2 linked regions of the Oryctolagus cuniculus genome follow. The protein of the gene in region 1 purifies or fractionates together with the protein of each later gene. This does not show direct contact. Links are inferred from orthologs where the notes say so. Each region holds a gene or a part of one and is shown on either strand. Other genes may lie near its edges.

Region 1 (6,986 bases):
TAAATCTTTAAAAAAAAGCTATTTTCTTCAATATTTATAAGTATTTTTCCCACTTAGAAAACTTCTTTTGACTTAAAAAAGAACCTTCAATCTATTTTTCTATAATTTTAAAAATCCCTTTTATTCATGCCCCAAACTTTCAATGTTGAAAATTTTCATACGTATGGGAAAGCTGCAAGGCTATACAATGAACATCTGTATTTTCCTCACTTGGATTAACCTTTTTTTACATTAAACTTTCAGTTGTAAGATAATCACAGAGTCACATACAGTTGCAGACAATACACAGAGAGATCCCTCGTTTCCTCACCCGATTTCCCCAACATCAGAGGACCATCTCACAGCCCGAACGCACAGGGACAGTCAAGACGCACACAGGGACAGTCAAGACGCACACTGGGACAGTCAAGACGCACACAGGGACAGTCAAGACGCACACAGGGACAGTCAAGACGCACACTGGGATAGTCAAGACGTACACAGGGACAGTCAAGACGCACACTGGGATAGTCAAGACGTACACAGGGACAGTCAAGACGCACACAGGGACAGTCAAGACGCACACAGCCATCAACTCCGGGATGCTCTCTTTTTTACTTTACAGCTACACACACTTCCTCCCCTCCTCCTTACTCCTAGCTCCCACTAATTTGCTCTCCGCGTCAATAATCCTACCACTTCATATGGGCGCCGAGTTCCAGTCCCGGCTGCTCCTCTTCTTATCCAGCTCTCTGCTGTGGCCTGGGAAAGCAGTGGAGGATGGCCTAAGTCCTTGGGCCCCTGCACTCACGTGGGAGACCTGAATGGAGTTCTGGGCTTCTAGCTTTGGCCTGCCACAGCACCAGCTGTTATGGGTATTTGGGGAGCGAACCAGCAATGGAATATCAATCACTAGATCTCTCTCTGACACTCTTTCAAGTAGATGAAAGTAAACAAACATTAAAAAATTAAAAATAAAATTTTTAAATGCCAGCCCAAAACTAACATAAGGCAGATAAGCAGCTACCTTGAGGAAGCTAGCGGAGTCTGCTAAAGATCCAGTGGTGTGCTCAGAGTGTGAGAACCCACCAAACTGTAACACTTACAATCTTATCAGAGGGCTCTGACCCACTGCACTGGTTCATTCCCCAGATTCCCACAACAGATGCGGGAGAGGCTGGGCCAAGCAGAAGTCAGAAGCCAAGAACCCAATCCAGGTCTCCCACAGGGGTGACATCTGCTCCCACTAGGGTGCACATCCGGGGTCTGGAGAGGAGCCGGGCAAATCCAGGCATTCTGCTATGAGATACGAGGGTCCCAAGCAGTGTCTTAACTGCTAGGCCAAATGCCTGCCCCAGTCTGGGCATTTTTTGGTAACTGCCTAGAAACCCACATTCCAGGAGCATCTCGAAGAATCAGCGGTCAGAAGAGCTAACTAGGAACCGCTGGCCTAAGATGTGCCAGCAGCCAGCGGGGGTTCCCAGCCTTCCTCTTTCAAGAGCCAGTATGGTGTAAGGAAACGGGCACACGCCTTGGAACCTGTCACTCAGTCGGTACAGTCTATTCTTGGCCTGTCTTTAGCTGGAAACGCTAAATAACCACCAGCTCCCTTTCCCTCTGCCTCTGCCAGGACAACTAAGGCTTCCTATGGTTATTTTTTTAAATACACTTATGTCTGTACTTTAAACACACAAAGTGGGGGCCGGCGTTGTGCTTTGCTGCCTGCAACACCAGCACCCGTAAAGGCGTTAGTTCAGGTCCCGGCTGTTCTACTTCCGATCCAGCTTCCTTCTAACGTGCCTGGGAAAAGCAGCGGAGAATGGCTGAAGTGTTGGGGTCCCTGAACCCATGTGGGAGACCCAGAAGAAGGTCCTGGCTCCTGGCTTTGGACTGGCCCAGCTCTGGCTGGTGCGGCCATTTGGGCAGTGAACCAATGGAGGGAAGGTCTTTCTCTCTCCATCTTTCTCTTTGTAACTGACTTTTAAATAAATAAATAAATCTTTAACCACACAAATTGACAATGAAGTTAATTTAGTGTAACTTGATTACAGACCGCCTTAGATTACTGTGAAATGTCTACACCCTTCTCAAATCACATTTATACTAACAATAATCTGCTTTTGAGAACCTATCAATCTAAGAACTTATCTGCCCTATAAGAAGGGCATTCTGTGAAATGTTACTTCTTTCTTTTTTAGAAAAGATTATTTGAAAGGCTGAGTTAGGGAGGGAGAGAAGAAGGGGGAGGGGAGGAGGAGAGAGCAAGAGAGCAAGATCTTCCATTGCTGGTTCACTCTCCAAATGGCCACAAAAGGGTAGCTTTTCCAGGTGCATGGGGTGGGGGGGAGCAGGATCAAAAGTGGGGCAGCCAGTACTCAAACCTACACTCATGTGGGATACTAGTGCTGTAAGTGGCTGCTTGACCAGTTCTGGCACAACACCAGTCCCAGAAATGTTAATTCTGATAAAGTTAGCAGATAAATCAGTGTTCATGGGGCCTGCACTGCGGAGCAATGGGTTTAAGCTTCCGCCAGCGATGCCAGCATCCTAAATGAGCAGCAGTTTCAAGACCTGTCTGCTGTATTTCCAATCCAATTCACTGCTAACGTGCTGGGAAAGGCAGCGGGTGACGGCCTGAGAGTTGGAATCCTGCAACCCACATGGGAGACCTGGATGGAGTTCCAGGCTCCTTGGCCATTTGGGCAGTGAACCAGCAGATGGAACATCTCTTTCTCTTTCTGTAACTCTTTCAGATAAATACATTAACTGAAAAAAAAAAAAAAAAAAAAAGGCAAGGTATAAGTTTTAGATCGAAGCAAAATCTCCCATTCCACAAATACTCACCATAAAATTTTAAACAACGAATTTAAAAATATTTCTTAGGGGTCAGCGTAGCTGTGGCGTAGCGGGTAAAGTTGCCACCTGCAGTGCCGGCATCCCAAATGGGCACAGGTTCGAGTCCCAGCTGTTCCAATTTGAATCCAGCTCTCTGCTGTGGCCTGGGAAAACAGTAGAAGATGGCCCAGGTCCTTGGGACCCTGCACCCATTTGGGAGACCCAGAAGAAGCTCCCGGCTCCCGGCTTTGGATTGGCGCAGCTCCAGGTGTTGCAGCCATCTGGGGAGTGAACCAGCGGATGCAAAACCTCTCTTTCCCTCTGCCTCTAGTTCTCTCTCTGTGTAATTCTGATTTTCAAGTAAATAAATAATTTTTTTTTATTTTTGACAGGCAGAGTGGACAGTGAGAGAGAGAGAGAGTCTTCCTTTTGCCGTTGGTTCACCCTCCAACAGCCACCGCAGCCAGCACGCTGCGGCCACCAGCACTTTGCTGATCCGAAGGCAGGAGCCAGGTGCTTCTCCTGGTCTCCCGTGGGGTGCAGGGCCCAAGCACTTGGGCCATCCTCCACTGCACTCCCTGGCCACAGCAGAGAGCTGGCCTGGAAGAGGGGCAACCGGGACAGAATCTGGCGCCCCAACCGGGACTAGAACCTGGTGTGCTGGCGCCACAGGCAGAGGATTAGCCTAGTGAGCCATGGCGCCGGCCTAAATAACTAAATCTTAAAAAAAAAAAATATTTCTTTGAGAGGCAGAGAGAGCTCTCATCCACTGGCTCACAACCAAAATGTTCACAACGCCCAGGGCTGGGCCAGGCTGAAGCCAGGAGCTGGGATCTCAACCCGGGTCTCCCATTTGGGCAGCAGGAATCCACGCACTTGAGCCAGCATCTGCTACTCCCAGAGTGTGCCTCAGCAGGAAGCTGGGTCAGCAGCAGCCGGGACGTGAACCCAGGCACTCCAGTGAGGGATGTGGGCTTCCGGGTGGCATCCCAACCACCACGCTAAACAGCCACCCAAGATAAAAATTATGTTTGCTTATCTATGCTTCTCAAGTTTTTTTTTTTTTTAAGAGTATTCATTTTTGTAGTCAGTTTTAGAATGTTTTTTCAATGTCCATTATTTGTAACTGCTCACTTCTTACCAGACAGAGACTGCACATAATTCCACAGCGTGTCTTTATCTGTCCAAAAGTAGTCTCCATTGCCAATGGACAGAGTATACGACCGCTCATCCATAAGCTTGACCTTCCTTCTGCTCTGGCCTAAGGAGCACGGCTGACCTTCTAGGCGAACAGAGCTCTTTGACCCACAAGCCTTGACATTCTTTAAGCCAACGGACTTCATTTCTAACCAAATAATTGCTTTTTGGTTTGAACTAAGTAGAAAAGATATGTACTGCTTTTTCAAAACCATAAAAAGTCAGTTAACGGAAAGAACAGACACATTCCAGCACAGAATGTTAACCACTCAAATCTGATTGGAGGATGACTACTAGCTATAGCTCCAATGATGTTCAAGAAAAGAAAGACGTTTCCAAAGAAATGAGGAAACTGAAAGGCCTGAGGAGGATGCCTGGCCTCACGGTTGAGACTCCCATGTCTCACACGGAGCATCTAGCTTTGATCCCCAGCTCCTGAGTCCAGCTTCCTGTCCTGGGAGGCCGCAGCCACAGCTCAGTGACTGGGAACTGCCACCCAAATGGGAGATGTGGATTGAGTTTCTGACTCCAAGTTTTGGCTACAGCCCAGTACTGGCTCTTGTGGACATCTGGGAAGAGAACCAGCACATGGGAGCTCTCTTTCTAGAAAAAAAGAAAAAGGTTACCACTTCAAAAAATAAAAAATAAAAAAAATCAATTCAGGTTCACTAAAGTCACCATATAGCTAAGGTTAAGACACTTCAAATGTGGTTTCTATCATCTAAACAAGTATTTCTGACTTAACAAAACCCCACATATACTAATTTCAAAGCCAGTATTGGGGCCGGTGCTGTGGCGTAGCGGGTAAAGCCGCCACTTGCAGTGCCAGCATCCTATATGGGCACCGGTTTGTATCCCAGCTGCTCCACTTCCGATCCAGCTCTCTGCTGTGACCTGGGAAAGCAGTGGAGGATGGCCCAAGTCCTTGGGCCCCTGCACCCGCATGGGAGACCCGGAGGAAGTTCCTGGCTCCTGGCTTCAGATTGGTGCAGCTCTGGCCATTGCGGCCATTTGGGAAGTGAACCAGCAGATGGAGGGCCTCTCTCTCTCTCTCGGCCTCTCCTGCTTTGTATAACTCTGACTTTAAAATAAATAAATGAGTAAATCCTTAAAAAAAAAAAAAGCCAGCCTTGTGGTGTAGCAGGTTAAGCTCCTGCCTGCGATGCCGGCATCCCCTGCGGGCACCAGTTCCACACCTGGCTGCTCTGGCTCCATCCAATTCAGCTCCCTCCTGATGTGCCTGAGAAAACAGGGGAGAGTGGCAGTGCCTGTCACCCACATGGGAGACCCCGATGAGGCTCCTGGCTCCTGGCTTCAGCCTGGCCCAGCACTGGCTGTCATGGCCATTTGAGGAGTGAACCAGGAGATGGAAGCGCTCTCTCTTTTTTGGGTTCTCCCTCCCTCCCTCTCTCTCTCTAACTCTGATTCCAATAAGTAAATCATTTTTTATAAAGAAACTATAAAAAAGGACTAATTTCTACAAAGCTCCGAGAAGTAAAACACGACCAGTGAAGCCACGTTCTACAGTACAAGCAGTCACTAAAGCAGGTCCCCTCTACTTGAAGTTGGACAGAAGAGCTGGAGAACTGGCCCAGAGGATAAGCCAGTCATACCAGCAGCAGTGCCACAAACCGTAGCATCCTGCCAGTCACAGACCTCGAGTAACTAGGGTCAGCACGCTTGGAAGACAGGCAAAGCAGAACACTGCCACTGACAATGAGTATTCTTATCTTCCCATCTAAAAGCACTTTTTATGCATAGAAATATCTGAATTTTAGTCTAGTTGAAACATTGATACTTGAAATATTAAAGTCACAAATTCAAAAATCCTGGATATCCTTCAAACTTTCACATTCAACTTAGATATCTTATTCTATTTGAAGGTCTAATTTTGAAGGGTTGTTATAAATGTTTGAACTTTTAAAAAACCATTTGGCTTATTTGAAAGGCAGAGTTAGAGAGAGAGAGAGAGAGGGAGAGGGAGAGGGAGAGGGAGAGGGAGAGGGAGAGGGAGAGGGAGAGGGAAAGAGGGAAAGAGGGAGAGGGAGAGAGTATTTTCCATCTGCTGGTTCACTCCCCAAATGGTCACAACAGCTGGGGCTGGGCCAGGCAGAAGCCAAGAGCCCCAGACGACACGGGTGGCAGGGACCCACCTATTTAAGCCACCACTGCTGCCTCCCCGATGTGCATTAGCAGGAAGCTGGAATCAAAAGTGGCGCAGTATGTGGGTGTCCCAGATGGCAGCCTAACCGTGGCACCACAACGCCTGCCCAGAGAGCTGCTCTTCGCGGCAGAAGGCCTGCTAACAGATGCACACAGCAACAGAACCAGGGAGGTGCCCCTCTGCAATGCCCAGTCTCAAGTGGGGATGTCTGCACAATGCCTAATCGCTTCCCCAGAGAGTACTTCCAGTTGCCTGGAAAAAGATGCTCCTGTCAACCACCTTAACAAACCGACCAAATTTAGCATCACTAATAGTGGATAACCTGACTCCTACAAAGTGCTACACATCTAATAGCCCAAATAAATTTCAGTTTATGAAAATACAGGCGGTAAACAAACCAAGTAAAGGACGCCAGGAAGAAGCAGACACATCTGGAACCCTGGGATATTCTACCAGATAACTTGGTCTCTTCAAAAAGTCACTGCTGTCGGGAAATCAGAGTGGCCAGTGGAATTAAAGAGTCTCAAGAGACATATCAAAATATAATACTGTGGGGGGGGGGCGGGGGCAGGGTTGGACACCAGGCAGAGCCATTCAGCCACCGTTTGGGACACCCACATCCCACAGTAAAAAAGGCCTGGATTCAAGTCCTGGCTCTGCTTCCAGTTCCAGCTTCCTACTAATGCACACCCAGGGAGGCAGTGATGGTGATCCAAGCACTTGGGTCTCAGCCACCTACGTGGGAAAATCAGATGAGGTCTGGCTTCTCGTTTTGGACTGGCCCAACCCCACTTGCAGCAGGTATCTGGAG
Region 2 (7,263 bases), on another chromosome or scaffold:
GGAGGCGGAGCCCTCCACGTGCCACGCCCAGGCAGGGAGGGGTGTGGGCACTGCTGCTGTCCCGTGGCCCAGCTGCCCCTCCACCGAGCCCCGGCCTCCCAGGGCGAAGGCTGCCGTCCCTGGGAGCCTTGGGGGCGGGGCTGCCCTCACACCCACCTACCTCATGGTGCCTGAGCGCCCCCTGGGGGCCCCTGGCTGGCCTCTCAGTCCCTGGGTGCGCGGGCCCGGCTGCCTGGGAGCCGCTAGGGGGCGTCCTGTCTGTAGGCTGCTCTGGGCCGCTGGGGGCGTCCCGTCGAGGTGTCTGTAGACTGCTGCTCTGGGCCGGCTCCGTGGCAGGCCCCACCCTGGGTGCTGGGGACGCAGCGGCACGAGGGGGCTGGGGTGGGGGCAGCTGCTGCTCGGTGTTCAGCAAGAGCAGGGCAGTCAAGGTCCACCCTTGGTCCTGCATCTGGGTGCCCGTTACCTCATCTGTGAAATGGGGTGACGGTACCGCAGCGTCAGACGACCTGAAAACGGCCCCGGGGTCCCGTCAGGCCCGCAGGGTCTAGTGGTCTGGCCCTGCCAAGAGAACCGCAGACAGGGCTCGGAATCCAATAAATCAATAGCAGCTACCTTCTAAGTTCAGTTCGTACAGCCCGCGGAGGATGTTCTAAATATCCAAATGGCCCTTGGCAGAAAAAAAGATTCCCCACCCCACAGAGGCGCAGCCACCGGGGCTGAGCTCCAAAGCTGAAGAGACAACCAGGGAGACCTTCCTGGAGAAGGTGGCGGCCAGCAGGATGGGTGGGACCTACAGGGGGAGGGGGCAGCGGGGGCAGGGCTCGGCCCTGAACTGTTCTTGGGCCCCAACAGACTGCCTGCTGCAGGCGGGGGCCAGGGCCTTCCTGGGAACTCCCTCGCGGGCAGGAGGGCCCTGCGGGGCACAAAGCTGAGAGCAGTGAGGGGTGGTGGAGCGGGTGGGGCAGCTCCCAGCCCCCTGCCTACCTGGCTTTGGCCGGGGCTGGCCAGGGTTCATCTTCCAGCCTTTATAGGGTTTGCAGGTTATGGGCAGGGGGACGCCAGGTTCCCCACACGCTAGCCAGCGTGGAGGAAGCTCGCAGGAGGAAGAGAGCTCGGCCGCTGTGACCGGCCGGAGTGCATCTTCACGGGCCCGGCTGGGGTCACTGCACCGAGGCGGCAGGCTGGCACTACTCCACAGTGCCCGCCCCACCGCACAGGGCAGAGGTCGGCCGGGGATCGGGAGACAGGGTTCTGGGAGCTGGGTCCAGCGGAAGCCAGGGAGGACCCCAGAGGTAGGTGGGCAGTGAAAGGGGCCGGGGAGACAGAGCCCCGGATTGTGCCATCTGCCAGCAGTGCTCTGGCCCCATGGTGCCTGCTGGGCTCCCACAGAGCCCCCCGCCCCCAGGCTGCCTCCCATTCTGCTACCTGGCATCCAGGGGCACCTGCGAGGTGGGGGACGAGCTGCCCACCCCAGGAGCGCATCGCCTGCAGCCCACAGACCACAGGCCACTCCACCCCCACCCCACTGCTCTGCCATGTACTCAGCCTCTCCCTCCATATCTTGGAATGCTCTAGGGGCCCTGCCAGCCAGCATGCCTGGGAGTGTGTAGGGCAGGGACTGGCCAGGCCACGGCTCCCCACTCACTCCCTCCCATCCAGCAAACCCAGTATCAGAGCCCCAGTCACTAGCATCCAAACTAGCAGTGGTGGCTCCTGCAGAAGATTCCAGAAGACAGAGCAAGATCCAGCCTGGCACAGCACAGCTGCGACTTCCAGGTTTCACGTATGACTTCTGGCCACCTGACAAAGGTGAGCGACAGGCCCTCGGCACAGTGCGGTGCACAGCGGTGACCAGAGCGAGGCCAGCATCGCAGCGTCTCAGTCGCCCATCTGTTCCGCTTGTGTGGCAAGAGCTGCTGGAACCCCCCAGGGTGGAGAGGACGCGAGTGCAGGGCTCTGTGGTTCCAGCTCCCGTGTGCTGTGCTGTGTTGCACTCGGGGTGGGGGTAGGGTCTTGTGGGCAGCAGGCGAGGACCTTCTGGCCTGGGGTTTGTGGGGGGGGAGAAAGGCCCATCCTGTAGCTCTGCGGGTTCCCCAAGCCCACAGCCTGCTTCCTCCCACTCTCCCACTTGAAAGGGGCGTGCCGGCACCTGGCTGGGGAGGCACGGGGGTGCCCAAGGACCGGCCTGCGCAGGCGCTCCACAGCCGCCCCGCGTTTCCCTACCAGGCTGGTCTGGAAGGCGGGGCGCAAGGAGGCCCAGGGCTCCGGAACCCACTCCCCGGCAAGCCCCGCACCTGCTCAGCGGCCGGGGCGTCTCCACCGTGGAGTCAGCCCTCCCCCTCCCGGCTGAGGCCACGCGGGCCTTCGAGGGAGGCGTGCGAGAAAGAAGACGGCAGACCCAGTGCTAACTGCGTCCCAGTTTCTTTTTATTTAATTTTTTTGTTCTTTTTTTCCTTTTTTTAAGTATGGAGGCTCAAGTATAAGATGTAGATATTTTTTGTTAAGCTTTACAAAAAAACAAAATAAAACAAAAAACTCCTTTTGCATTCCGTAAAAATTGACAGAAAAGCACCTGGCCAGAAGAGCAGCCCCGCCCCCACCCCGCGGCCTCCGAGGGACAGGGGCAAGCCTGCACAGGACGGCTGAGCCCCTCTCCTTCCGCCCAGGGCTGGCCCCTGTCCCCCGCCCCCCGCCCAAGCAACTCCCAAACGCACTGGAGTCGCACCTCCAGGTTTCCTTCTGTCTCTCACACACCACAGTTATTTCATAAAATTTTTTTGTTTTACATTTTTTACACCAATGTAACAAAAAGGGGGAGGGGAGGGGCTGACGGACAGCGTCTTTATGCCTAAGGGGGGGGCGGGCGGGGCGGACCGGGCCCTCGCGGGCTCTATGCAGACACCAGAGTTCTGACAGCGGAACGGTGGGAAGCAGGCCTCGGAGCCGGAGCAGGGCGGTGACTGGGCTTTATTGGGGAGATGGCGCTGTGCGGTCGAGGATGCGCGTTGTTAGGGGCCTGTCGGGGAGGGAGGGGCCGGGGACAGGGAGCAGAAAACGAGTTTTCTAGGAAAGGAACCTAAAGAGTGCGCGGCGTGTCCGGCTAGCGCGGAGCAGGGGCTTAGCTCTGCTGCTTTCTCTTCAAAGCCTCCACCAGGTCGTTCTTAAGCGCTTCTTGTTTAGATTTGTCTGCAAAAGTCTGCACAGACCTGCAAGGGAGACAAGGCGTCAACAGCGGGCCGAGTGGCAGGAGCACGGGGCCGTGGGGCTCGCGCCTCCCCGACGTGGCCGGCAAGGTGCTGGGGTGTGGGCTCGGGCACCCCTCTCCCAGGTCAGCACAGGCCCAGCCTGGGGACCGGGAGCCTGGGATTTGCTGCAGGGGGCGCGGCTCAGGGGAAGCCAACAGGGACAGTTGCTCGTGTCTGCCAGGCTGACCATGACCGCAGCTAGCGGAACCCAATGGTGGCCTCCAGGCTTCCAGGCACAACGTAGCAAGGACCCCGCTTCCAATCAGCTGCTGGGACTAGGAGGGGCCCAGGAGGAGGCTCGGCCCCGGCCCTGCGGAGAACAGGGGGCAGGGGCTGCCGCCTGGCGAGTGTTCCGGAAACCAGCGGCTGCACGGTGGCGCATGCTGGGTTCACGGCCCGTGAGCAGCTGTCAGCTTGGCCCGGAAAAAACCTTGCCAGGATTCCAAATGCGGCAGAGGAAAGGGTGGCCTGGGCCCCCGCTGGCGAACCCCAGGCTTGCGGGGTGGGGTGGGGTTAAAGGGACTGGGAACGCTGCAGTTCGTGGGCGTCACCCACCTGAGTGCTCTCCCCCACACGCATCCCAGATGAGCAACTGGAGCTTGGAGAAACGCCCCCGGCACGGCCCTGACCTGTCACACGCACTGGACAGACGGCCGGCCAGGCGCAAAGTGGCTGGCTAACTTTCTCAGTGCAGGGGCCGCTGGGCGCCACGCTGGGCTGGCCGTGCGGTGAGAGCCTCAGGTCTGACGTCAGACCCACGCAAACCATGGAAAGGAAGGGTCAGGTGTCCCCGCCACGTGTGCGTGCTGGGGAGAGCAGAGCGAAGCAGGGCCCAGGAGACTGGATTTTGGGGACCGAGTCCTGGAGACGCCAGAGTGGGCACAGACAGGACTCGAGCCGTCAGCACAGGCCGAGGAGCGCCCGTGGGAAACGCCAGCTGAGGCAGATTTTGCCCCGAGTTCTGCAGCGGCCAAAGGCAGGGTGGTGGCTCCCAGGCGCCCAGTCGTGGGCAGTGCTCTGCGGGCCTCACTGAGCTCACGTCGGAGGGCGTGACCAGAGAGCAGCGGCTCCCTCGCCCGGCACAGCTGGCTCTCCTGGGGAGACAGGACGCGGCGCTGGGTCCTGCCAGCCCCGCCCCGCAAGGACCAAGCCCAGAGTCAGAACCAGGTTAGAGCTGTGGACGTGAGCTTGGAGCAGCTGGAGGCCGAAGGAGCAGGGCCGTCACTGGGAGGGTCACGGCCGCACTCCACATAGGAAGACCACGGCCCCTGCTGGCTGCCCGAGCGCCGCAAGGCGAGGCTGGCGGCTGAGACGCCCTGGCCGTGAGATCCCGCAACCGTGCAAGGGCGGCAGCCCCGGCTGCTTAGTAAGCACCGCCACCCCCAGACTTCCCAGCAGCTCTTCTGGGCTGGGCCTCGGGCCTCGGACCCTGTGCCTGGGGGCTCGGCGGCCCTGCTGGCTGGGTCACCAAACGCCTCATTCTAACAGCCCCCGCCCTCCGCAAGAGCGCCGAGCGCCCTCATCCGTCCGTGTCTGTCACAGGCTCCAGCTCCGCCATCGGCACGGCCCCGGCACAGGCTCCAGCTCCGCCATCGGCACGGCCCCGGCACAGGCTCCAGCTCCGCCATCGGCACGGCCCCGGCACCAGGCCGCTCCAGCAGCAGCCGGTCTGGAGCAGCAGCATCTGGTCAGGGGCACGACGGCTCCCCCCACGCTTGTCCTGAGCCTCGGAGAGTGGGGTCCCCCGAGCCAGCTGCCTCAGTCCCTGTGCCACGGGGCAGGGTGTGTGTGGCTGCGGGGGAGATCCTAAGGCCACCCCGAGGCATGTGGGGAGCAGAGGGCAGCTGTGCGTGCACACAGCGGCCTCCGACAGAGCCCGCGTTAGTTCCCTGGCCTGGGCTCCTTCTGGAGCCAAAGCTGAAACCACCCGTCTCCCCGGGACCTCGCTCAGTGCACAGCACACACCACACACGTGAACGTGTCCGTTACGCGGGCCAAGGCAACATGTTATACGGCCGCCCAGCAGCCAAGAGCGCACGGGGGTTAGTGGAGGTTTAACTGGGCGCGCAGGGCCCGGCGGTTGGTGAGTGCTGTTTAGTGGGCAGCTGTCACGCCTGGCAGGCAGGGTACCTGGATCGGCTCAATTATCAGGCTGGATGTAGATCTGGCGCTGGGTCAGCACTTGGGAAAGCTCCCTCTGCAGCTGCTTAAACTTTTGGTTGTCAGGGATAGCGTCAATAGATCTACAGAGAGCGTTCAGAGGTGAGAAGCAGGCAGGGCGTGGGGGCTGGGTGCACCCGGAGGCTGCCAGCCCGAGACGGTGACTGCGTGGCGTCCCCGCTGCCGGTGAGCGCAGGCACCACCGCCGCTGGAGGAGAGGGTTGGCGGGGTGGGAGAGGGTCTGGTCGGAGGCGGAGGGCCCGACGCTGGGGTCTCTGGGCTCTGGCCCAGGAAGTCAGGATGAGAAGGGCCAAGGGGAACCAGAGGGCAGCTGGCTGGAACCTGTGTCCCAGACAGACCCACCGTGGGCGGCTCCGCAGTGGCTCAGCTGGCCTGGGACCACTGGATAGGGACAAGGGGGGTGGCCAGCAACGGCACAGCAGAGCCCTTGGCCACACACGGTGGAGAACACGTCAGACCTCAGCATCTCACCCCCCGTGCAGCCCCCTGCCTCCTGGACCCGGTGGGGAACAGGGCTCGGAGGAGACGCAGCCTCTGGGCTGCAAGGCCAGCTCGCTGCACTGACAGCCACCTCTCATGCCCCCATGCAGGCTCTGCCTCCTGCTCAGTCCTCTACGGACCCCAAGGACCCGAGCAGGGTGGGAGGGGCAGGTGAGGACCTCGGCTCTGGCTCTGTCCGCCCAGAGCTCAGTGGTCTCTCGCCCTCGCAGGGCCTAAGGGGGCTGCGCAGCTGGGGACGGAGTGGAGGCAGCCCGAGGGGCGGGCGCAGGAGCTCCGTCCCACGTGGAGTCGGCTGTGAGGGCGTTCAGAGCACGAAGGCCGCCCAGGGCTTCCCTTCCAACACCTGCGGGGCATCTCGGCCCCCAGCTCCCTCTTACAACGAGGAGGCCGAAGCCCGAGCCCGCGGAGCTGTGAGCGCGCAGGCCCTCCTGGTTCTGGAGTGTGAGTTCTGGGTACGTTACCTCAGCCCGTTGACGATGTCCTTCGTTTTCCCAAAGTAGATCTCATTCAGCGTACTTCGGATTTTATTTTCCATGTCCTGGGAAGGGAGTCAGTCACCATGGAGGCAACCAAGGAGCCAGGGCCGCCCTGGCCCAGCCCAGCCTCTCTCCCTACGGGGACACAGCCAGGGCCAAGCCCCTGGCTGCAAGGCCGCCCCTGCCCTCTGTGCTCTGAGTGTGTCCCCGACCTCAGGCCTGGTGGCCAGGTCCCAGCGTTCCTTGGAGCTGGTCAGAACCACACCATCCCTCAGCCCTCCCGCCGATACGGCGAGCAGTCCTGAGACCCCTCCTCCCAGAGGGAGGAAGCCTGCGGCACTGGCGCGGGAGCCCCTCCAGCCCTTGAATGCTCCAGGGGTCTACCCACTCGATCGGCGCGGAGCCAAGGGCTGGGCAGTCACCCCGGGAGCACGTCTCGCAGGCGTGGGGGAGATGCCAGGAGGCCAAGGCAAACACAAGCTGTGCGCCGCCGGCGAAGCGGCTCCCAGCCTCCCTGGAGACGGCCCAGGCTGCGGGGAACACAGGAGCCCGGAGCCCGCGGGGCCCACTCACCTCTACCAGGCGCCCGATGTTGGCTATGTGTGGGGAGCAGTCACTCACAGTCTCATCTTTCTCCATCTGCGAAAGACAGAACATTCCCCCGGTCAGAGCCAGAGCCCTGGGCGCGGCGGCGTGGCCCCCACCTCTAGCAGAGCCCGCTGCTAGAGCTGCTGCAGGTGTGAGGCTGCTTTCCCAGCAGGGGAGCCGAGGCACAGAGGGACAGAGTTCAGATTATAAACGCTCCGTCCGCTCCGTCCGCAAAGGCCCTGAGCCCTGGGTTCCAGTGCTGCTGCTCCCCT

Evidence for each region.
Region 2: the proteins of CNOT10 (region 1) and CAPZB purify together in Homo sapiens (co-immunoprecipitation; 3 studies listed by BioGRID and IntAct, with this or other methods). This does not show direct contact. The link is inferred for Oryctolagus cuniculus from reciprocal best matches to the Homo sapiens genes CNOT10 and CAPZB.

The regions. Positions count from the first base shown.
Region 1 is NC_091435.1:169,315,481-169,322,466, reverse strand, and holds the start of CNOT10 (CCR4-NOT transcription complex subunit 10), read right to left. Parts: upstream 4,247-6,986; 5' UTR 4,227-4,246; coding exon 3,956-4,226; intron 1-3,955. UniProt on the Homo sapiens protein: Component of the CCR4-NOT complex which is one of the major cellular mRNA deadenylases and is linked to various cellular processes including bulk mRNA degradation, miRNA-mediated repression, translational repression during translational initiation and general transcription regulation.
Region 2 is NC_091438.1:151,255,960-151,263,222, reverse strand, and holds the end of CAPZB (F-actin-capping protein subunit beta), read right to left. Parts: intron 7,043-7,263; coding exon 6,977-7,042; intron 6,466-6,976; coding exon 6,389-6,465; intron 5,489-6,388; coding exon 5,386-5,488; 3' UTR 5,376-5,385; intron 3,207-5,375; coding exon of another isoform or gene 3,119-3,206; 3' UTR 2,406-3,118; downstream 1-2,405. UniProt on the Homo sapiens protein: F-actin-capping proteins bind in a Ca(2+)-independent manner to the fast growing ends of actin filaments (barbed end) thereby blocking the exchange of subunits at these ends.